Tamandua tetradactyla: one gene and its partners. The protein of the gene in region 2 interacts with the protein of the main gene of each other region in a pairwise test. Links are inferred from orthologs where the notes say so. Each region holds a gene or a part of one and is shown on either strand. Other genes may lie near its edges.

The links. The genes of interacting proteins can lie anywhere in the genome.
Region 1: the proteins of DDI1 (region 2) and CYGB interact in binary tests that used the Homo sapiens proteins (3 or more experiments, as listed by UniProt). The two-hybrid records come from large-scale screens. The link is inferred for Tamandua tetradactyla from reciprocal best matches to the Homo sapiens genes DDI1 and CYGB.
Region 3: the proteins of DDI1 (region 2) and KLHL42 interact in binary tests that used the Homo sapiens proteins (3 or more experiments, as listed by UniProt). The two-hybrid records come from large-scale screens. The link is inferred for Tamandua tetradactyla from reciprocal best matches to the Homo sapiens genes DDI1 and KLHL42.

Annotation. Positions count from the first base shown.
Region 1 is NC_135332.1:17,434,132-17,441,989, forward strand, and holds the start of CYGB (cytoglobin), read right to left. Parts: upstream 3,006-7,858; 5' UTR 2,929-3,005; coding exon 2,786-2,928; intron 1-2,785. Other genes in the region: photoreceptor disk component PRCD, read left to right, coding at 5,756-5,829, 6,063-6,131. UniProt on the Homo sapiens protein: Probable multifunctional globin with a hexacoordinated heme iron required for the catalysis of various reactions depending on redox condition of the cell as well as oxygen availability.
Region 2 is NC_135334.1:37,958,433-37,965,096, forward strand, and holds DDI1 (protein DDI1 homolog 1), read right to left. Parts: upstream 2,343-6,664; 5' UTR 2,099-2,342; coding exon 902-2,098; 3' UTR 578-901; downstream 1-577. UniProt on the Homo sapiens protein: Probable aspartic protease. Seems to act as a proteasomal shuttle which links the proteasome and replication fork proteins like RTF2. Required, with DDI2, for cellular survival following replication stress.
Region 3 is NC_135333.1:90,930,001-90,938,146, reverse strand, and holds the start of KLHL42 (kelch-like protein 42), read right to left. Parts: upstream 3,006-8,146; 5' UTR 2,522-3,005; coding exon 1,650-2,521; intron 1-1,649. UniProt on the Homo sapiens protein: Substrate-specific adapter of a BCR (BTB-CUL3-RBX1) E3 ubiquitin-protein ligase complex required for mitotic progression and cytokinesis. The BCR(KLHL42) E3 ubiquitin ligase complex mediates the ubiquitination and subsequent degradation of KATNA1.

The DNA.
Region 1 (7,858 bases), on a different chromosome or scaffold from region 2:
GCAGTCTTCTGCTGCAAGGTTGGTGCTTTGTCCCCACTTTATGGATTAGGAAATTGATGTCCAAGGTTTCTGGAGGAAATAGGTGGCAGGAAGGAGCCCAGGTGGCCCCTGCTTTGACAGCCTCCCTATAACTGCCTTAGGAGACTGGTGCACCTGGTTCCATGCCCAGGAGACCCAGGCCAGCCCCCTGCCTCCATCCCCAGAGCCAGCTACAGGGGCCTCTTCTGGGCCAGGACCTGGTGGCCACCTGCCCTGCTCTCCTTCACCCTGGTTTCTCTCCCCAGTGCCCCCATGTTTACTTCTGACCCTTCCAGCGGGGCTGTGCCAAGGGTAGGAGAGAAGCCTCAGCAGCCAGCCTTGGGGGAGTTCTCAGCTCCCAGAGGCATCTGGGCTTCCAAGAGAGCTTGAAATAGGCTTGTCTGAGAGTGAGGGGGAAGGTGCCAGAGTTACAACCGGGAGGGGGGGAGCCTTCGTAAAGCACAGGGGTTCCCGCGGTCTCCTCCCCACAGAGTGGAGGTGCGGGGTGGGCTGGGACCCAGGCTCCTCCACCACCACCCCCAACGGGCTGCTCAGCTCTGGAGGGTGGGGTGTGGAGGGGCGCTGGCCTGCCCCTTGCCCCAATGGCTGAGGGCAGAGGCACTGGCCCAGGTCAGCGAGGAGGGAGGGGGTGCGAGGGAAGGCCAGAGGCCAGCGTCTCAGGCGCAAAGAGGCCTCTTCCTGTGGATACCTGCTTTGGGCGGCAGGACCGACGGGCAGGGTATCTGCGCGGGGACCTTTGGGAGACCCCTTAATGCCGCCTGTCCCAACTGCCTGGGCAGAGCCAGGAGGGCAGCAGGAGGAAAGGGCGGCTGGTATAGGGCCTGGGCTGGCGGGAGGTGCCGAGAGGGACGGTTCTGGGCTGAGTTGTCCCGTGGGGCAGGGCTCTAATCAGCAGAGAACTATGGCCAAGTGAGGTGGGGTTGGGTGGTGGGCTTATCAGCGGGCCGGAGGTAATGATTTAAGAAACCCCGGCTATCTCAGCCTTCTCAGATTAACGGGGGGCTGTCTCTGAGCTCACTAGCAAACACCTCCCCCAGCCCAGGCCCGGCCCCCTCTCCGAGAGTCAGGACCAGGGAACTAGAAGGGGGTCTAGAGAGAGAAAGACAATCTTGCCAAGAGCCCCAACTGCCCAGAGCAAGCCCTGCCCTCAGTGTCTGGTTCCCTCATCGGCTCCCCTCAGGCCCCCCTGTCCCGCTCCTGGGGAGGTTCTGGGGAGCCCCGGGAGACGGTCCTGGCCACGCTGCTACACTGGAAATGACAGGGGTTGGGACTAATGCTCTCCAAGGTTCTTCTGATCTGTTGTTCTGTGGACCCTGCCTCGTTTCCAGCTCCAGGTGCACCCCGGGGCCTGGTGGGCCTCAGGTGCCTACACCCACCACTGGGGCTGCCGTCCTACTGGGTGCTGCATGGGTGCTGGCACCACAGATTGGCTGCTCTGAGTGTCGGATATGCTGCTCTGAGTGTCAGAAGACTCCAGGGTCTGAATCCCCCTTGCACCCTCCCCCAGCCCCTGGCTGCATTTCCGGGAGTCTGGCATGAGCTCCCTAAATAGCGGCCCCTTCCTTAGGGACCCTCCTCTAACTCATCAGAAGTGCTTCCTGCTCTTTTTCCTCCAAAATCAGCTCCCAAGTTTGGATCAGGGGAAGGCAGAGGGGAGAGAGAGTAGGGGGTCGGGGGACATACAGAGGGGCCAGACTGGCCAGGTCGGGGAAACAGGCATGCATGTGAGCTGTCTCTTCCTTAAGCAAGCAGTTGCCCATTTCTTTAAATAATAAGTCTGCCCTGCTCTGTCCCAGATTTGACAGCTTCTCTCTGCCAAGGACAAGGGCTCGAGGGCAGGCTGGGTCGGGGTCTCTCCCCCTGCACCCCCGGGGACTGGCGCATGTGGGAACAGGACATAGATTTGTACCTACAGTCATTCACTGTGAGGCTCAGTGACATTCAACCTAGGAATGGCGTGTGCGCCGGAGTGAAAGCGGGTGAGTGATGGAGTCACTCCGTGTTTGGGGGTCTTTGTGGGGAGTGACCCCTGAGTCCAAGACACAGCACTTCCACAGCCCCCAGGGAGGGTGTTTCCAGGTGGGGCCCTGTCTCCTGAAGCTTCTCCCTTTCCCTCCACCAAACTCTGCAGGGGCTGGGTCTAGGGCACTGGTTGCTCCTTCTCTGCCCTGCAGGGCCTGGGAGCTCCTTGCTGGCCCACTCCCTTTGGGCAGAAAGGGAACAGTTGGGAGAACTGGTCCTCATCCGTGTACTTCTCCTGGCCTCTGTTCCGGATCTTTGCCTTCCCTAAGGCTTTGAAGAGGGAAAGGGGCTGAGCTGGAGAGAGGCAGTTGCCCCTCTTTGCTGCCTCCCTGGCTGAGCCTCAGTCTTCCCATCTCTAGAATGGGGCGATTGAGGTGGAAGGGATGATAAAATGTGTGTCTGTAACAGCTTGGCGGGCGCGGGCTGAGTGTGGGTGGGAGAGGGGTCTCGGGCCCAGGGAGGAGTTTGGGGCCCGGGCGAGAAGGGGGTCGGCGGCTGCCTCGCCTCTGCGGCTGGTCCCCGCGCCCCGGCTCCGGGAAGGGCTCCAGGGCTTCACCGTCCGCCCTCGGCCGGCGCCCCCCGCTGCCTGCACCCCGGCCGGCCCTGGCCCGGCCCCCGTCCGAGCTGGGGAGGCGGCGCCGGAGCTCGGACCCGGGCCGAGCCCGCCCCTGCCCGGAGCCGCTGCCGCCCTCCCTCCCCCGGGCCCGGCCGGGGCGACACCTACCTCACCAGGATGGCCACCCCTACGTCCTCGCAGTTGGCATAGAGCCGGGCCCACGTCGCCTGCACCGCCTTCCTCTCCGCCTCGGACAGCTCCTCGCTGCGCTCCCTGCGCTCCGGCTCCATCTCGCCCGGCACTTTCTCCATGAGAAGCTCCGAGCCCGGCCCGGCTTCGCTCGGCGGCGGCGGGGCGCGAGGAGCCGGGGCCGGCTGCTTGCGCGGCGGGCGGGCGGGCCGGGGGAGAGCGCGCCGGAGGGAGGGAGCGTGTGTCCGTGCCTCTGCGCGCCGGGCGTGTGTGCGCGCGTGTGTGTGTGTATGTGTGTGTGTGCGCGCGCGTGTGTGTGTGTGTGTGCAGGGTATATGTGCGGGGGGCGGGGGACGCGGACGGGGGGCGGGGATGTGGTCTGCTGGAAAAATGTTTGAAAAAACAAATACGCCCCAAACCCCAGCCCCGCGTCGGTGAGCCAGTTCCGGCAAGGTGACGGCTGGGCGGGGTGGGGGCGCCGGGCGGGGCCGGGCCGGGTGGGTGTGGCCGGCCCGCCGTGGGGGGGGGGGGGGGGGTGTCTCGGCGAGCAGCCGGCGGTCACGCGGCGCGGGGCGGCGCTGTCGGCGGGTCTGGGGGCGATCGGCGCGGGCCCCCGCTGCGTGCGCCTCGGGGCGTGTGCGTGTGTGCCCCCTTCCCCCCTCGGGGAACCGATTCAAAGTCAGACGCTCCCGGGCGACTGCGGCCCGAGGGGGCGAACGCAAGCCCCAGCCGCCGCGGTCCCAGCTGGGGTCCCGCTAGCTCGCGGCCTCTCCCGGCACCTCCCGGAATTCCAGACCCCGGGATCTGCAGGATCTAGAACTTGGTGCTTCTCCCTGCCCGCCTCCCGCTGCGGGAATGGGGTGCGTCGGTCCGAACGTCGGCACACCTCCAACCTCGGGCGCCAGAGACCCGCGGCCTCGGGGCGCACACGCTGGGAAGAAGCCTCTGGGTGTCTTATTGATGACACAAGCAGGCCAGATAGAGGCGCTACCTCGAATTCTGGCCCCGACGCGGGAAAAGTCCAGAGAGGCGGCTGGTGCGGTACAGAGGAGGAGCCCGGGGTCAAGGAACCTGGGGGAAGGCCCAGGGTGCCGGAGGCTTCTCAGCTACCACGAAGCAAGACGGCTGAGGTGTGGTTGAGACCCGGCTAGAGGTGCGCATGGACCTCTGAGAGCCAGGGGGACCCCACTACTGGCCAGAGTCCAGACACCCCTGCGGTGTCAAACTGATGACACAGCACATATGGGATGTTTCTACTACTCTCTCCCTAAGGATCCCTGGTGACCTTTGTTCTCAAGGCTTTGTGTTCCGCTGCCTAACCACTGCAAATGGGGCTCTCCTCTGCAGCTTGCTTTATGTTTTTATTTTGAAAAATCGTAGTTCAAGGTAGAGAGCTGACAGAAGCAGCAGGGGCCTGCCTAGCCCTGCCCTGGCTCAGGCCCTTCCTGGAGCTCAGGGTTCCAGTAACTTGGTGGGAATCCTGGCTGGTTGGCCTCTGCCACAGCCTCCCCAAATGCCTTCTTCCGAGGAGCCCTGGAGGTGGGTGCAGGAGAGGGTGTGCTCGGCTTCTAACATCACTCTCAAATTCGCCACTTGCAAACCCTTGCCCTGTCCTCTGTGCCCTGCCAGCCTTCTGTCCCTTTGAGGCCTAATCTCCACGTTATGCCCAGATGCCAGCTGAGCTCCTTTGAGGGTTTCCTAAAGCAGGTGTACTGGTCTCTAAACTGGCTGCCCAAGAAGTTCCACTGGGATGTGGAAAGAAAGTAGAAGTCTTTCCCTCTATTTTTATCTCATCCGTTACAAACTGTGTGTATATTTTATGATGCAATGATGTATTTGCAGACTGGTAGAGTATATATTATTTAAAAAATTTATTATGGTAACATCTATACAACATAACATTTCCTGTTATACCCAGTTTCAAGTGTACATTTTAATGGTGTTAATTACATTCATGATGTTGTGTTACTGTCACCGCCACCCATTAACTTTTCCCTCACCCCAAACATCCATTAAGTAAAAACTTCTCCTGCCCTCTCCCCTGGCCCTTGGTAATTGCTAATCTTTCTGTTTCTATGAATTTGCTTATTCTAGATATTTCATATAAATGAAATCATGATATTTGTCCTCTTGTGTGTATGTGGCTTATTTCACTCAAAATGACATATTCAAGGTTCACCCATGTGGTGGCGTGGATCAGAACTTCACTAGATTATCTGATTTATAAGTGTCACGTTATGGGTGCACAGTTACGTTCTGCCTTTGAATGAGAAGTATATGATCAGAAAAGCTTTGAAATGGACTATCCAGAGGTTAAAATGGATGCCCCCCAAGCCAGACATCGTGGGCCCTTCGCTCTTTGCTTTCTCCTCTTCTGACTTCAGGTTCTCATTGTGCTCCTCTGTTCTCCGGCCCTCCTGGCGCCCCACACTGCGACATTACCACTCCCCCGCCACCCAACGCCCAGCGGCTGGAACACGGCGAGCTCGTGCCCATCTCTGGCTCTTGCAGATTCTTTGATCGCTCTCTCAGGACCATCCTTCCGTGCTCACCTGCAAATTCAGGGGCCTCTAGTTCTTCTTCAAATCTTTTCCTGATGCTTGCAAATCCCAACATGCTCTCCAGCTAAGCCACCCTATTGCAGGCATTTGTTTCATTTGTCTAGACTCTAAGGCCCAGGTCTTATTCATATTTGCATTCAGAATCGGTGCTCAGTGCCGAGGTTGATTTACCTGGCCTTGGACGAGACAGCCTGGGCCTGGTGAGGTTAATCAGTCTTCACAAGGGCGGGTCTGCTGTGACCCCACTAATCAGCTTGAGCCTCCTAATCCGTCACCAGCAGGAACCTCAGGACAGAATGCTGGTGAGAGGTGGCGGGGGCCATTTGGGCCCCTAGCCCTCGCCTTCTTCTCCAGACGAGGTTCTGGGCAGGGGGTGGGGCGAAGGGCCATGTGCACCACCCTCTTTCTGCTCAGCACCTTGGCCATGCTCTGGCGTCGCTGGTCTGCCAACCGGGTCCAACCGTGAGAGCCTGGCAGGGGCCCTGGGCTGGGGCAGGGGAGGAGCTTCTGGGCCTCTGGGGGGAGGTCGGGAGGGCATGTGTACCAAGTCCCCAAGAGGCTCACTCTCGGAGCAGGGGCATTTGGGGCTCTTCCAGGGTACGAAGCTGTGGTCTCCATGTGGCCAGGCCCCGAGGAGCAGGAGGACGGTCTGGACACCGCCTACAGCTCTTCCTTCATGTTCTCCCCTCCCACAGGGAGCCCAGCGGAGTGGACGGGGCAGCTAGGGGCAGCGGCTCGGAAAGAGACCTGCAGGCTTCGGGCAGGTGAGGCAGTGGAGAGTCAGGTGGGGGAGGGAGGTTCTGCCAAAGAAGCTGTTGCTGTCTGTGTCTGGGGGGTGCAACGCGTATGCACGTGTGTGCGTGTGCCCACACTACATGGTGGCCAGCAGGCATGTGTCCCCGTGCCCCAGGCACCTTGCTCCCTGTGTGCCTGCTTGGATGTCTGTTTTCTCAGATTGGGAGCTGGGAGCTCCCAGACCCCTCCCTTGGACCAAAGCTGCTCTGCCTGGCTAGTCTGAGTGCAGGACGGTCCCCAGGGGTACCTTTTGCTGGAAGGCGCAGGGGGAGTGGAGAGAGGGATGAGCAGAAGCAGCTCTGCATTGCTCTGCTTTCCTTTCCTTTCCCTTTCCTCCCCTCCTCCCCCTGCCCCCACCCAGCCTCAGCTCCTCTGCCTGAACCTCGGCAGGATTCGCTGTCCAGTCCCCAATAGAAGGCTCTGGAAGAGCATGACATCATCAGCATCGAGTGTCATTGGCTGGACAGCCCCTGCGGGCAGGATTCCGGCTCCCATGGCCGAAAGTTAACTCTTCCTTAGGCTGAGGGCATGTGGCCTTTCAGGGGTGAAGTTGGGGATCTCCCGGCTTATTTCTTCCCTGAGTAACCAGTGTCCTTTGATCAGAGGACACTGAAAAATCAACGGAAAGTTATGAAGTCCCTACTGTGCTCTGGGTGCTTGGGGACCCACCTAGTTTGGAAGACCTCTCACTGGGGTGACACTATCTCATGGGGAAGTGTCTGCTAGACCACTGACGCTGCCTGTCTTTTAATAAAATAAAAAGCAAAAGAATCCCAAGACCTTTGGGCTTAGGTGCCCATGGAAGGAGAGTCTCCCCATGGGAGTTCAGGCAGCTGGTCCAGCCGGCTTGACCTGCAAACACCTCAGGTCTCTTTCCGGGTGGGGGATGTGTCCTTTAGATGTGCGGAAACTAGTGAGCCTTTTGCTGTCTCGGCCATTTTCTGCCTCATCCTGGGACTCTTCCGGGTTCCACTCAATGGTCAGAAGGCCCAGTGGAAGCTACTGGGCACGTACAGGAAACTGAGAGGCATTTCTGGGATACCCTTTCTGTATTGAATGCAGCCTGAGAGTGTCTCGGTGTGACTCCTAATCAAATGGCTGACCCACGTGAAATGACTGCCACAGGGGGTCACAGAGAGGGGCACTGGAAGGCTGGCTGGTCCTCACTGGCTGAGTTTGGGCCTGGAGTTGGCCAACTGGCTCCCCTTTTACTAAGTGATGTTGGGCAAACTATGTAACCCTATTATTTATAGGTAAGATGGAGTTAGTAACAGAGTGGTCATGAGGACTTAATGGGCTCATCTTTGTAAGGCCTTGGCATGGAGTAACTGCTGAATGCATGTTTGCTGGTTATTTTATACTCAATACAGTGCTTTATTCATTCTCAGAGGTTGCTCATGTGTTAACTCACCCAGAAATCTGTGATCCTAGAAGTGGCAGGACATGTGCTCTGTCTCTTGTTAATGGCCGAGGAAACTGAGGGACAGGGAAATTTCAGTGACTTGCTCAAGGTCGTCCGTCATCTCCTTTGTGGCAGATGCGAGACTATGAATCGGGTCCCCAGCTTCCTGGTAGTGGGTCTCTACTACATGAAGTGGGTCTGGACTTCCTGCTGGGAGGATGGCCAGGACAAATCTGGGGGCCACCCAGCCAGGCCTGACCTCACGTGGTCTGGCCAGAAGGCAGGAGGCCACCT
Region 2 (6,664 bases):
AAATTCTTTAAAGATGTTGATCTAGTTGAAATGATCACCGGAACACGGCCAGCCCCTACCTCCCGCTCCCACCACTGTGCAAATGCAGGTTCCCTTAAAGCACCATCATTTGAGGAGAAAAAGAATAGATCTAAAGATCTAATTCATTGCCTTCATTTTACAACCAGAGTTACCTTGAATTCAGGGGAAAGAAAGAATTATTTCTGGACATTCTAGAAGGAAAACCCATTTTCTCAAAAATGGCAAAAAAAAAAAGTAGCCTATAGTGGTAGGTTGCAGTGAACATGCTGTGGTAACAGGGACTCCAGGGAAGGAGAACAAGTAAAATATGAGGAAATTGACCCTTATGCTACCCAAAACAGACGTGTATAAGTATTAATTCAAAAGTATAATTGACCCATCATTTCTAATATCTTTCACAGAGCAAACAAAATCTGTGCAAAGAGACATATAACTCTGACATATAAACAGGTGTTGGTGCTGCTTTGAAATAGTTGTGTGTAGATGCCTTATAGGGCATGTAGCAATGACTTTTTCCAGGGAATTCTGCCCCATTAATGCAGCACCAAATAGCAGCTGGTTTGGACAGCTTTAATCAGATAAGATGGTGTCTATAAAAGGAAGAGGCTGGTTTTCCTTTTCATGCATTATCTGGAAATCAACTGGAGCCTCCAGAGAGAGCCTTCCCAAGATGAGGTTCAGCGCTCTCTGGATAGGGGAAATGGAAGAGGAGCCAAAATCAAGCAATCACGATTTACATAGTTAGGGATCTCAGAATTTAGTTCCAAGGCCAGGTTTAGTTGTTAGCAATGTTTTAATGATTACATGGCCATGAGCTCATTTCTTATAATTTTCTGGGACCTGAGGCTCCCTCAAGGTGGTAGTATATTTACAGCCTACTTCAATGCTTTTTCCGTCCTGAATCCATGACTGAATTTTTAATACCATCTGCTCTTTCCTTATCTGAAGACTCCTCTTGCCCAGTAGCACTTACCAGCTTGGCACACGGGGGTAACTCTCCCTCAGGAAGAAAATAAGTCTGTGTACCTGTGGTGCCAATCACTAGCACATTTTTCTTCAAGTCGATGGAACATTGATGTCGTTTGAGCATATCTAGCCCTAGAAGCATGTCCATGGGTTGCTCCTCAAGTATAGAGAAAGAGCATTGTAAGAAATCACCTTCAATTTGAATCTGAGCTAGATGAACTCTGCCAATAATTCTCTGCGTGCCCACTCCTTTAGCAACCCCAGCCCATCTTCGGTCCACTAGCCTCATTATGTTGCATCTCTCAGCACAAGTTTGGCTCATGATGGTCATCTGGGCACCTGAGTCAACAAAAGCCTTCAAAGGATGTCCATTCACTTTGCAGTTAATATAGAGCATTGCCACTTGGCCAAAACTCTCGGGAGCCTCTTCCATCGCAATATTCATGTTTTCCTCAATGTTCTGCTGCCGGATTTCCTCTTCTATTTTTGCCTGAGCTTCCAGATCAAATGGGTCAGCAGAATAGAGGCGAAGCCTCTCTTGCTCTCGCAGGGCCCTCTCCCTTTGCTGCTCCATCAGGACCTGAGAAAACGTCTCAAGGTTTCCGCTAAGCAGAGCTTCCGCCAAGGGGGGATTCCGTTCCTTCAGCAGAGACAGATCATGGGGATTGGAAAGCAGCATGCTTCGAATCAAGGCTGGGCTGTCCAGACCTTGAGCAGCAGCTATCGTCTCTCCCGAGGCCATGCCGCTTGAGTTCTGGGCTGTTTGTGATCGCTGATGGTGCTGCTGGCGGGAGCTGGATGTTCCAGGCACAGCTACGCCACTGAAATCTAATCGAGGCAGGTTTGACGTTCTTCCTGGGGATCGAGTTCCCGTATTCTCATTCTGAAGCAAAACAACAACATCACCGTCTTTTAGGCCATATGAGCCCAGGGAACAGTGGTCGTCAGCAAGAAGTCGCTCTGCAAAGATTATCTGGATCTCTTCAGCGGGAATGCCAGACTCGAGCTCACAGAGGACCCGAAAGTTGCGGAGCTCAAAGTCAGGGCTGACTTGAAGGGAGAAGGTTACCTCAGAGAGGTTCCTCCGCACGCAGTACACGGTGATCAGCATGGCATGGGCCCAAGAGGGCCAGATGGGCAGAGGGCATTAGATTGTTCGCTGGCTGACTGGAGCTGGTTTCTGATGATGACGTGGCTGTTTCTTAGACTTGGCACGTGTTGCTCAGGCTCCTTTACCTCTCAGAGAGGCCGAGCTGCTCACCAGCCTGGGCACCCCCTTCCAGCTTCATTGTCTGTTGCTTGGGCCCATGGAGTCTTGAAGCAAGATGTTGGGTTCCATAATTCATGTGTATGTGTGCCTTTTGGAACTTAGAATGTCTATTCCCATAGAAACAAATTTACTCTGACCCATTAGGTGACAAGACCAATCCAAAAGCCTATTTAACATCTTTTTATTTTGATATGATTTCAGCTTTTCCTAAACAAAATATTAACATTCATCTTATTCATTTTAAAGCTGTATTTTATGAACTTTTACTTATTCCCCAAAGAATGAATGTTTGTACAGTTATCATGCTATATGTACTTGGTATTGTAAGATAAGTCAACCTTGGCACCTGCCCCTAAGGATCTCATTCCAGGGTGGAATTGATGGGTATATAGGTATATCACAATATTGGAGATAAGTACTTTAACAAAGATATGTTCAGTGTACTAAAGGGACTAATAGGGCAGAGCAAGTTGCTCTCCAGAAGAGATATTCAAGCTGGAGATTCAATGACGAGCATTTCCTAAGTGTAAATTGGTCAGAGTCACACCAAACAAAAAGAATTGGATGTGCAAAAGCAAGAATCCATGACAAGACCTGTTATTGCCATAGGAAGGCAAACTTTCAGTCTAACAGGAATTTGTACATGAATTTGAGTGGCAGAACACAAAGCTGAGAAACATTAGTTGGAGCCAATTTTTAGTCTTATATGTGAATCCAGTGAGTTTAAATATTATCAATAAGTGAGAATCCTTCTGCCCCATGGGAGGAAAAATGAGAGGAAAAGAGGAAGAAAGGAAATGGAAAAGATTTGAAGCAGATATTCATGATGGATTTATTTTTTTCGTTTAGTGGTTTTAAGGAGGAGGTTTCCTGTAACAGATGAGTAGAGTTAACCTAGAAGCAGTTAGGAGGCTTTCTCAATGGTCCGAAGTGGAAGCTGATGCGAAAAAGGAGCTTCTTATGGGCAGGATTGTGGCTGCGGAGAGTGTAAAGGAAGCAGGGTATGTGGAATACACAGAAGGTCTCTAAAATGTGAGACTGGTTAAAAATAAGCTGTTGTTTTGAACAGATGAAGTGGCTTTAAGGTGACCAGTTGAACGTTGATTCTGCAGTGAAGTGTGTTGTGAATGCCACTCTGCCCATATCTCTGACCCTAGGATGCAAATCCCCTCCCCCAATTCCCCAAGAGTGGAGGCGCACAGGTGAAGGGTAAAGAGAGGCTTCAGGATAAATGGTGTTGGATAGCAATCGCTGAGTGCCAGTTGCTTTTCCTTTTCATTTCATCAAGCACTTGGTGCTGCAGAGAGCTTGTGCCCACTCACCCCCAGCTGGATCTTCCTGGCTATAACTACATAGCAGCCAAAGATAGTCATCATTCCGTGCCTCCTTCCCCCTCCCTGCGCCCAGTTTTGTCAGCCTGCACCATCAGAGTAGGACATCGCATCGGCCTTGAGATTTTTTTTTCTCCTTTTTCTCTTGTACTTGACATCTCAGATGTAAGAATGTGTCTCACTCATTACCCCATAATGCTTCTATACTCGTATTCATGTATATTAGAGATGTTGACTGAGTGCCCGGTGTGTGTGAAGAATGTGCTAAGTTCTGGAGGTACAGATATGAATAAGCTTAATGCTGTCTCTGTCCTTAAAGAAGTTCCCAGTCTAAAAGAGGAGACAGACACACGGTTTGGAGAAGGAAGAGTGAAAACGCAAAAGTAGAAGCTTGCACAGTGAGGGGAAATTAATATCTGGAGAGCAAATGAATGAGATGGTGGGGGTTGTTGGGCAGGGAAGTCATCTGGGAAGAGCTAGGCGTAGAAATTTGAGGAGTCAGCCATGCATGGGTGGGTGGGGTAGAGAAATGAAGGAACTGCCAAGGAGAGTGTGGCCTGACTTGGAGACATTATGTAGAAAAGCAACACTTCTTGATATGAGGGACTTTATAAAATGTCAGGGGAAAAATTCAGCATTGTAATTTTCCTGAAGAAAATTATGAATCATTTAGAGCTATTTTTCACTATTTATAGAGGTGAATGACCCTTTGACCCAAAAATATCAAGTTACTAGATTTATTCCCTGGTTCTTGGCATCCTGATAAATTCGTCAGTGATCAATAATGAATGTTCCCATGAGAATTGTCATATGCTAAAGAACAGACTAAAAACCAGTGATGCTTGAATTCAGTGTCTTTCTCCCTACCACCAGTAATTTTGGACAGTTTGTTTTTAAAACCTAATAGCTAGGGAGATAATATAGGGTGTCTGCATGTGTGTCTGTTTGTGCGTGCGTGTGTGTGTGACGGTGGATAATATTTTTTATAGAATGAGATTTTTTTGGTAAAGCAAGAGCTCTAGTTCACAACAAAAGAATCTAGCATCTGTTTGTTTTCATAGTACCATTACTTTGAAATGTAACAAACTTTATGCAATATTTTTATTATCTTGCTGCATTTTTTCACATTTGGTGTCATATTACATTTATGTACTTCTTATTTTACATGTTACTCAGAACACAAAATGGAAAGTAAGAAGCCTCAAAGTCTAGCCAATTTACTGTCACCATTCCATAGATCTTAGATGTCAGGATTGGCAGGGATCCTTTCCATCCTCTAGTCCAGCCATTCGAGTGCTTAAACCTCCTGCTGCAAAACAGCCTGGAATCTGAAAAGATAAACACAACCTCCTGGGGTGACTTAGTACTTCTATTTACACCTAATTTTATTCTTTGATTTTACTCATCACTATTGGTGATTCCGAAGCCATATATATAATTTTCTTCCCTCAAATTTTTAATTTAACATTTCTTCCGGTTCTACAATAAACTTGGAGACTACTGGGGACATATATATAAGGAAACATTCCTAAGCAGAAAATATTGTTATACCAGAAATCCCTATTGCAAGGGCTGCTGAGAAATGAGTGATGTGAATTAGTGAAGTGTATTAATCTAGGTAACTGAAGGCTATTGGAACGTTTCTTAGGAGTTCTTTGTGAGATACAGTCTCTTATTTTTCTTTCTTGTAAGGACAATATAGGAACATCATTGAATCTTTCTTTGATAAGTGAGATTCCTGAAAAGCTTCAGAGCTATCACTCAGAAAATCAGTTCTCATTGTATAGCCTAAATACTCAGAAAATAAAAGAGATGGCACTGATTTTACTCTGGTTAAGTAAATAACTCTAAAGTTGTTTTTTGGAATAAATCCACAATAATACCTTTCATAATTTGCTTCTTTATAAAAGCCTAATCCAGCAAAACAAAACCAGAAACAGATAACTGATGGTTCTGCTTAGTATAGTCAGTTGAAGTTTAACTACTATAGTTTTACGAAGCAAAATTGTGGTCTTATTAGTGAAAAAAATAAGAGTAGCTGTGTAAATTTCATTATGCAACACGTAAAATAATTAAACCATGTTAAGCAAATGTATTAGTCTGCTGTGTTTCTTCCTTCTTTTAAATATGTGCCTGGATATTATTTTTAAAATAAAATGCAACCAATATTTATTAAGATAGTTAAATCATCACTTGAGGTTTTCATTGAGATTTAGGGAAGATGCAGAACTTTGAAAGTTGCATCCTTAGGTTAAACAACAAATTTCCTTACTGTTCCTTCATCTGCTTTATAATAATACAATAAATTGTACTAGTACTGTCATGAAAGGGTAGAATTTATTTTTGCAGCTAATTATTTAATATGTGTATTTTTTAAAACGCTATATTAATCAATTTAGCTTTCATTAGTAGATTTGGATCTTTTCTCGTATGAAAAGGCTTGCTATTGCCCATCTTTGAAATTTAAATACCAGAAAAGGAGCTACTAAATAAATATATAAATATGCAGACATATAATTGAAGAAAGTCATGGGACCTGAGAATTTAGTTTGTCCCACCCTGCTGGGAACTCAGCTGATGGCTATGCTTTGTTATAAAGAGACAAGAATATGGACAAAATACACACACACACACAGCATGAGTGCACGCTCAGTTAGTCAGGACAGTTTTCCAATTACTTTGAAAGTGCATTTAAAAGATTGCTATTTTCCTGAAGGGACTGTTTTCATGGTGCATTGAATTTATTTATTGCTTTATTTTATAGATTATTAGTTTTAACATTTTATCATGAAAAAAGATGCATTTTAATTTGCATGTTACTTATTGAAAATTATGTGATATATGATAATATAATCTCTTGATAACTTTTGGCTCTTCACAGTGCATACTTTCCAAGTCTCTCTGTCTTTCTGATAGGTATATAGATATATATATAAATACAGATATAGATAGCATATTGCTTTTTTAAGAAAGTTTGCTGTTAGGATTTCATGCCTTATGGTCCTTTCCAGTGCCTTGATCACCTTATAGAAATTACTCTGATCTGTGGGAGGTACATCTTGTTGCTGAATATCTG
Region 3 (8,146 bases), on a different chromosome or scaffold from region 2:
TGTTAACCACAATGAGCATACTTATAATCTATTTATATAAACATATATTTACAGCTTTTGAATATATTTTAAAAATATACCAAATGTCTATAAATGCACTTATACTTTTTACTCTATAGTTTTCTATCTCATTTTCATTTTTCCAAAAAGCATATATGCATGCATTATTTGATTTTTTTTGTTCTTTTTTAAAGACAGACAGGTCATTCCTGGGGAGGGGGGATAAAAGACTACTATAGATTTGTAAAGATTAAAAAAAAAAAAAGAAATGAACTCTGTATGGTGTTGTTAGAATTGTGGAGCTGGGGATGGCATGCTGAGAACCAACTGATTCAACTGAAAAGTTAGAGAGAACAGAGAAGCTACTGAGCCTTCCACCCTAATTGGAATTTCTGTTTAAAAATAATATTTCTGATATCAAAATTTAAATATGTTATCACCTCAATGCTGTAAAAAAATGCATTTAAAAAGGATTGGGAGTACATATGCCAACTGTAGATAGCTATTACCTCTAGGAGGAGGAAGTAGGAGTGACAGTCTTTCTACTTCTTCATTCATTTCCATTTTTCCATAATAATTTCTATTATGATCAGAAAAAAGGAGGACTTTGCAAAATGAATTTTATATTATAGTAGGAATAAAGCCAGTCCTCCTCATTCCTGCTAAGACTTTCTTGGCCTGCCTATGAGGTCACTGAGCTCCATGCTTCAAACTTCAGGGTAGGGACAATGATGGACTTGAGATGGAAACACGTGGACCAAAAGAAAGGGTATTCCTATCCTTGCTTGGGTTGCATTGCTTCTTCTCCCACTTCTGAATGGCTGAGCCATCCTGGGCTCTACCAGCTCTCTTTCCTACCATCTTTTCCTTTATCTGCTCTTTGTGCTCATTGTTTCTGTTCTTTTGCTGGTCCTTCCCTGCTTTTACTCCCCTCAAGCTCCTCCTCTTCTTTTTCTCTCTTCAAGTCACCATGTTCATGGTGGAAGGACATGCAGGATGGGAAAAGAGGAGGTTGGGGTGGATAGAAACATTCCAATATTGTATGTAGGTGGCTCCTGCAAGGCTCAAGCTTTGAGTCAATGGCAATGGCTGCCTGAGAGGAAGAAGCAAAAGAGAGGATAAAAAATAATAAAAGGAAAGCCCAAATAATTAATATGTATAAAACTCTAATGATTATCTGTCTCCTGACCTTGGATTGGTGCTCCAGTGTAGGACTTCAAACCACTGACTGCGAAAAATAAAAAATCCCCCATATCAAGATTAATGGCTACTGCCTAGTGTGTCATTATAATGAGAATTAGATCCTAAAAAGTAAAACAAAAAACAAAAAAAAAAGCAGTTGCCTTAGAAAGTATACTCTAGGAAACCACATCATTTTTTTTCCCTAGAATAGAGGCAAAGAAGGCCGTTCTGCCTAAAGGCGCAACACCTACAAGGAAACTTATTGAGCTGGCTGACCCCATTGGAGCCTCTTCTTGTAAGTTCTGAATTCACTGGGAATTTTGCCAGTATCGAGGCCAGCAACACTCCTGAAGATGTCATTTCTACCTCAGCACAGCCTCCGGTGACTGTTCTGTAAACACTAGCGGAGTGCGTTATTGAACACATGAATGAGTGGCAAAGCAGCAGCACTGCACTGGGGCGCTTACCTCTTCTGATTCATGGAGGCCACCTGGAGCCACTCATTGGTGCTGGGGTTGTAGGAGTGCGCGGCAGAGATCTCCTGGCTGGTGATCCTGTACCCGCCCACTATAAAGAGGTAGTTGTCCAGAATGGCCGACCCGTAACCCCTGACATTCACCAGGTCGGGAGGCAGGTTGTTGGCCAGCGGGAACCAACGTTCAGTCATCTCCTCGTACCTGAGCATGGACGGGGGCTCCCCCTGGTAGGGGTGCGGGGCCAGGGGTCCCCCCAAGAAGTCTCCCAGGGCCACGAGGACCGCAGTCCCAGTCATCCGGGCCTCCCTCAGCCTTTGCTTCAGACTGACGTCCCCTGGGGCTTGGGGAGGAGCCCCCAGGAGGTGAAACTGGGGCTTGCACAGCACCTCGTGGAAGTGGACGACCATGAAGCGCAGACAGGCCTCCTGCAGGTCAGGCAGCCCGTACACCTGCGCCAGGCGATACATCTCCAAGCAGTTGTTGAGCCGCACCTGGGACAGAAGCAGCTGCAGCAGGGACGTGACCTGCAGGAAGGAGGCCGCTTCCACCAGCTCCGACAGCAGGCTCACCTCGTCCATCTCCTCCTCCTCCTCCACCCCGCCGCCTTTCTCCCCCCGCGGGCTCAGGAGCCAGCCTTCGCGGGCGCCGCCGGCGTTGATGAAGTCCAGCACCAGCCGCAGGCCTGGGGCGCTGAGGCCGCGCAACTGCTGCACCTCGGGGCCGCCGGCCTCCTGGCTCAGGGCCTCGCGCATGCCGGAGCGGTACAGGGCGCGGAAGTAGTCGCTCTGCTCGATGAGCTTCCTCTTGCTCACCGGGTAGCAGCGGTCCTCCAGGCGGATCTGCACCATTTCCTCCGCCGACATGACTGGGGGGCTGCGGGCTGACTGGGTTCCCGCCAGATCTGCGCGCTGTCTTCCCCGCCCCCGCGCGCTCTCCGGGTTCCGGGTTGGGCTCACCGAGGGATGGGGTCCGGGAGGAGGAGGCAGGCGAAGGGCCGCCCGCTCCCGCGTTCGCCCGGCCTATTTGGGTCTCGGCGGAGCCTCCGAAGCAGCCCCTCCTCCTGTCCCGATGGCTGCGGCTCGGCCCTTCTCGTCTCCCTCCACGCCAAAAAAGGCCCAGCTCGCGCGCGCCGACGTCGGGAGGCGGCCGCGGTGCCTGCTTGGACTCTCCCGACAGCGTCAGTCGGGGAGGGTATCCCAACCCCCAGCCTGCAGCCTCCTCCCACGCCTCCCTTCTCACTTCCGCCCGCAGGACCCCTGCATCCCGCTAGACCTGCGAACTGGATCCGGCTTTCGGCGAGAGCTGGAAGGCTGCAGGCCTCGCCCGCCCGGAATGCCGACGCGCGGGCGGCGGGAGCAGGTCGGACGCGCGTCCCCGCAGCTTCCCGGCCCGCCCGGTGCGCACCAGTTGGGTGGGAAAGGAGGGAGATGAACCCACTTTGTGTTTTCTTTCGCTCTGCTTCGGAGGGGAAAAAAGAAACGGGCGTGGAAGAGAACGGATGAAGGCAAAGGCAGTCTGGGGTCCAGAGAACGAAAAACATCAAAGCTGGGGCCGCTCATCTGGGCCAGCCCAGCGCCGTGTTCTAGAGGGCGGAGGTACACCCGCAGTCTCTGGACACGTCATGACACCCAGTTGATTCCTCGGTGTGGTCATCGTATAGGAACCATCTTGCAGAAGGCCCGGGCAGATGGCAGCAGGTTCTGCAGGGCTCAGCGCGCCCGGTGCACTGGGTTGGAAAGTTGTCTTTGCTGCTGGGACCCCCCTCTTACCTTCATGCTGTTAGAAGACAAACTGAAGTATAATTCAAGTAAATAAAGTTAGATTACACTTCCTTTTTTTCTTTTATCATATATTATTTTCCAACAAATACCTTTCTAACAACCATTGCTTTTCCTACTTCGATTTATCCGGATTAGCCATTACAAATATTATCTTTAGGCATCAAGTCTGGTGGCTTTTGCTCACACTCCCCCTCCCCCAGCAATCTGAGGAGTATTTGAAGAGAGACCATCTTGTCTTTTCTCACTGAGCATCGCAAATGTAAAGCTCATCCCATTAATAGGAAGGGCCCTTGTATTGCTCATGAAATGCGAATTAATCCCACAAAAGGTGGCGGAGGGGGGATGGGGGAAGAATGGAAATTACTAAATTACCTTTGGGTAGGAAGGGTAATGCTTGAAAGGGAGCACCAGGGGTGTGGTCACTCTTCTCTTAAAAAAAACTCTTGGAAACGTCCCCCAAACCAAGATTTGAGGGCCAACTAGTATAGTTCTTAACGTGCGAGGCATTTGGGTTTGGATTTTTTTTTTTCCTTTTTAGTTACCGTACTTCAGCTTTCTTCTTGAATAACAAACTATTAAATAATAACTTCCTCATAAATATATTTCTCCTAGTCCAAACAGAATATACATCCAATAATACAAATTAACATTTCATGTTAGGAAGGGGGTAATTCACCAGGAGGTAACATTCACTCCTCAGTGGTTTACTAATGGATTTTTTTCCTCACGTTAGAATGAGTATCAGGTTAGGTGAGTGCCTATGATTTCACTTTTTCTTTCTCGAGTTCTTAAATTATGCTTTTCACTTCCACAATTATGGAACGCGATTATCAGAAGGAATCAACAAATGGCTTCAAATCGTTAGTGTGAACAAGCAAAACTAGATCTAAGTATAACGCCATTTTTCCTTAACATAACGTCCCTTGCATCACATATTCTGATGATATTGTCTGCCGTTAATTTTTTTTAATCATCTGTATTTTGGCAGAATCATCAAGCTAGGAAGAAGCTTAAATGCCATCCAATCTAGTCCCTCGTTTTACAGCACTAATGGGACCTGCCTGAGTCACAGAGCTAGTAAGTAGGCAGTACCTATCCTTGAACCCCCATTTTACCATTAGGTCCACAGCCAGCCACATAATTAACTGTATGGTCAGGGCACAGAAAAGTCTGGCCTGACAGAACTGTATCCTACATTAATAAATTATTAATTTTATTTTGTTAGGTGTAATAATTTCACAATATTATACATTTAAAACTTTTTTTACACTCATGAGTATTATAAGTGAAATAATTTCTGCGACTTGCTTTAAAATAAGGAAAAAAGTAGGGAGAAAGAAACAATCAACAAAATGTCAATAATTATTAAGCTGGGTGATAGGTTCATGAGCCATCATTATACTATTCTCTCACACATGTTTGTGTGTATATATAAAATTTTTAAAGTTTTAAAAAATCTTAGATTAATTTTCCAAAGGGTTTCCCCACCCCATCCCAATAATATATATATTTTTGTATTTTTTAAGTTACTAGCTTCTGCTTTCTTCTTGGATGACAAGTCGTTAAATAACATTCTTTTCATAAATAAATGTCCCCTATTTCAAGCAGACCATACATCCTCCAATGATTATTTACATTTTATGTTAGGAAGAGGGAAGGGTAAAAAAAAAAAAATTGAGAGAGAAAGAAAAGAAAATTCTATCAGTAAGACATGAAATCCTTTCAACACAATTTGGTCACATTTATGCTTCTTTTTGTGTAATTTAGCTACTTCGTAGTGAAGTTTGATCACCCATTATTTTCTTTATAGCATCATGAATAAGGAACTGAAATTTAAAAACAAAACAAAACAGAAAAATTCTGGCAGATTATGGCCTCCATAGGAAAAGGAAGAAAAAAGATGGGTCTATGACTTGCACCATTGAGTTATTTTCTTGGATGCCAGCTCTTCACCTTGTTTTACCTGTATTTTAAGTCACTGCTGATAAAACACCACTCTCTCACCTACCTCTCATGCTTCTTCTCTCAATGAGCATGCAGTCGAGACATTCTAAGGTACTTTGGGAATGAGTGCCCATGCATTTAGCAAATCAAGGGCCAGGTGCAGAATTGGGCAGTAGGCTTGGGAACTTTTGCTGGGAGGCGCCCCCTCTATGGAAGAGACTTGGACCTGGGATTTATTTGTGCCTTATTTAGCGACAAAGACAGATTCAGTGGGTCAGCCAAGAACAGAGTCTCAGTCTCTCCATTGTCCCTTTAGAATCTTTCACCAATGAATGCTTTTGTTTCCCAACCAACATAGATACGCCTCAGGCTGGTGTTCTCTTGCCTTTTTAGACCAGACCAAAAAATTCACACTCAAAAAAGGATCTGTATTAAAAAGGCAGTTCAAGCATGGTAATATCGCTGGGGCAAGATCAGCTTGGGCAGGGAATCTGGTTATTAGTCTGATAATACTAATCCCACAAGTTTTTTGGTCCCCATCATGATAATAATGTAATTCAGCACCTGGAGCATCTTAAAAGATCATATCACTTTAATAATTCACGCATTAAGTTTTCCGTTAAGCTAGAAATGCAAAATCGAAGCAATATAAACTCCTTATTCACAAATGACCTAAAATATTACTTTTAGGCTTCATAGAAATAGTTTGTATATCTAACTGGAAGAATAGTTTTATAGATCTGTTATTGATAAAGATTAGTCTTTGTCGTGCTACGATTCACTTCAGTCAATCACTTTGCACTGCTAACTGTTTTACAAAAGACTAAAGTAATGATCATATATAGAGTTAGGCTATTTCTTTAAGAAATTATGGAAAATATACCTTTTGACCTAGCAGGCAGAAAATATGTAAGTAAAGGATATTTGTCACAGTATTGCTTTTAACAATGAAATATTGGGGAAAAAAAGTATAATAATAGTAACTAACACTTATTGTTTATTATGTGCTGGGCCTTTTGTAAATGTTTTACCTGAGTTATAATGCCGTCTTTACACTATGTTACAGCTGAAGAAACTGAGGTGCTAAGTAAACTGTAGTAGGTTAGTAGGTATGTGCAATGAAATGCCAGAGAGCCATTACAAATTTTAATGTAGCACTTTCTTTAGAGAAATTGAAAGATGAAATTTACACTGCATCTTTTGAAAACAGGTTCAGGAACAGCAAACATGGTATGATTCCATTTATGTAAAATTGAATACATATATCTATTTTTCATCGTGCTACCTAAAAGGATGTTTATCAAAATGTTAAGATTATAAAATATTGAATAGTTTTTAAATTTTTTGTACTTTTGTATATTGTTTGGATTTTTTGGTGAATATATATCAATTTAATAAAAGCAAAAATTTTTAAAGAAAAATTAACATTTAAAATTTCAGGCCTCATTTTTTAAACAGTTTCCCCTAATTTTATCACTAATGAATTTAAAATGTTAAGTAAATAATTCAATTTGATACTTTAAAATGGGGGAGAAATATTGTTTTTCAAATGTCTTTTGAATTTAGTAAACCTATCCTATTACTTCACTACCATTTAAAATTATTTCTATTTGTTTAGTCCCTAGAGAAGGATTTTTCCCAAAAGCGTCTATTTCTTTTTGCTGCTTAGCATCAAATAAATTTAAACATCTTCCTTTCATTAAAGCATATGGTACAATTTAAATGAGTAGCACAGGGTCTTAAAAGGGACTGTATTTAATTCAATTTGGGCATCCTTATACAGGCATTACTACCATTCATTTCAGTAACCCATATCAGTGTTTTCCAAACATCTTAAGAAATCGCTTGGGACACTTGAGAAAATAAGAATCCTGGTTCCCACACCAGATATACTGAATCAGCCAGTGGTGGAGATGAGTGGAAAATGCTATTCTTTAAGGTATGAGGCTAATTTTTGAACCCCTCAGTTTGTCATTGTGTTGCAATAGTGTAATGGCTCTGGGTATTTGATTCAATTAGCATAAAAGCTATATAGCAATTTTTGTTTCAGAGTTGCAGTTGCTTCTGGTTTCTGCAATTTCAGTTCACATGGACAGGTTTTAAGACTAGATGCTCTGCAGCATATATCTCAGACTCTGGTGGATTCTTCTCTCTGATGCTGCAGACCAATTTCTACCTTTCCTTTTCAAAATATTTGATCTCGAGATGTACTCTTTTCTATACTCAATATTTGTATAATCACCACAAAGTTTTTTTAATAAAATTTTTTAACATGCTTTTACAGTGAAACTTGTAGATTCTTTAAAATGAAACTTTGATCTATATTTGAACACCATTTGGCAGCAAAGGGTTAAGCAATTGTGGATTGGTCCATTATTCCTGCAGGGAACATGAGAACTTCAAGGAACTATATATCACACTAAAGAAACTACATTTACTGTGACCAAAGACTTGAGGTTATACAATTAGAAAGTAGACTTTCCAGTTTATGTCCCAAGGACATGTCCTAAAAGAAACAGCTATAGAATTGCACTGAAAAACAGGGAGTAATTCTTGTTACTCATCTGTCTCTTGCCTTTCAATAGAAAACCTCTCTTCCTCTCCCTCAGAGTAGAAGGAATAGTCTGGTTGTTTCACAGGTAAGTGGCTGAAACTTGCTTTCTAAAAGTTCAACAGAATAAAACATATACTAGTCTTAATGTAATTTATGCGGTTTATACAAGGTTAGGAGTTAGTACATGATATAATTTTTGCTCAGAAAAT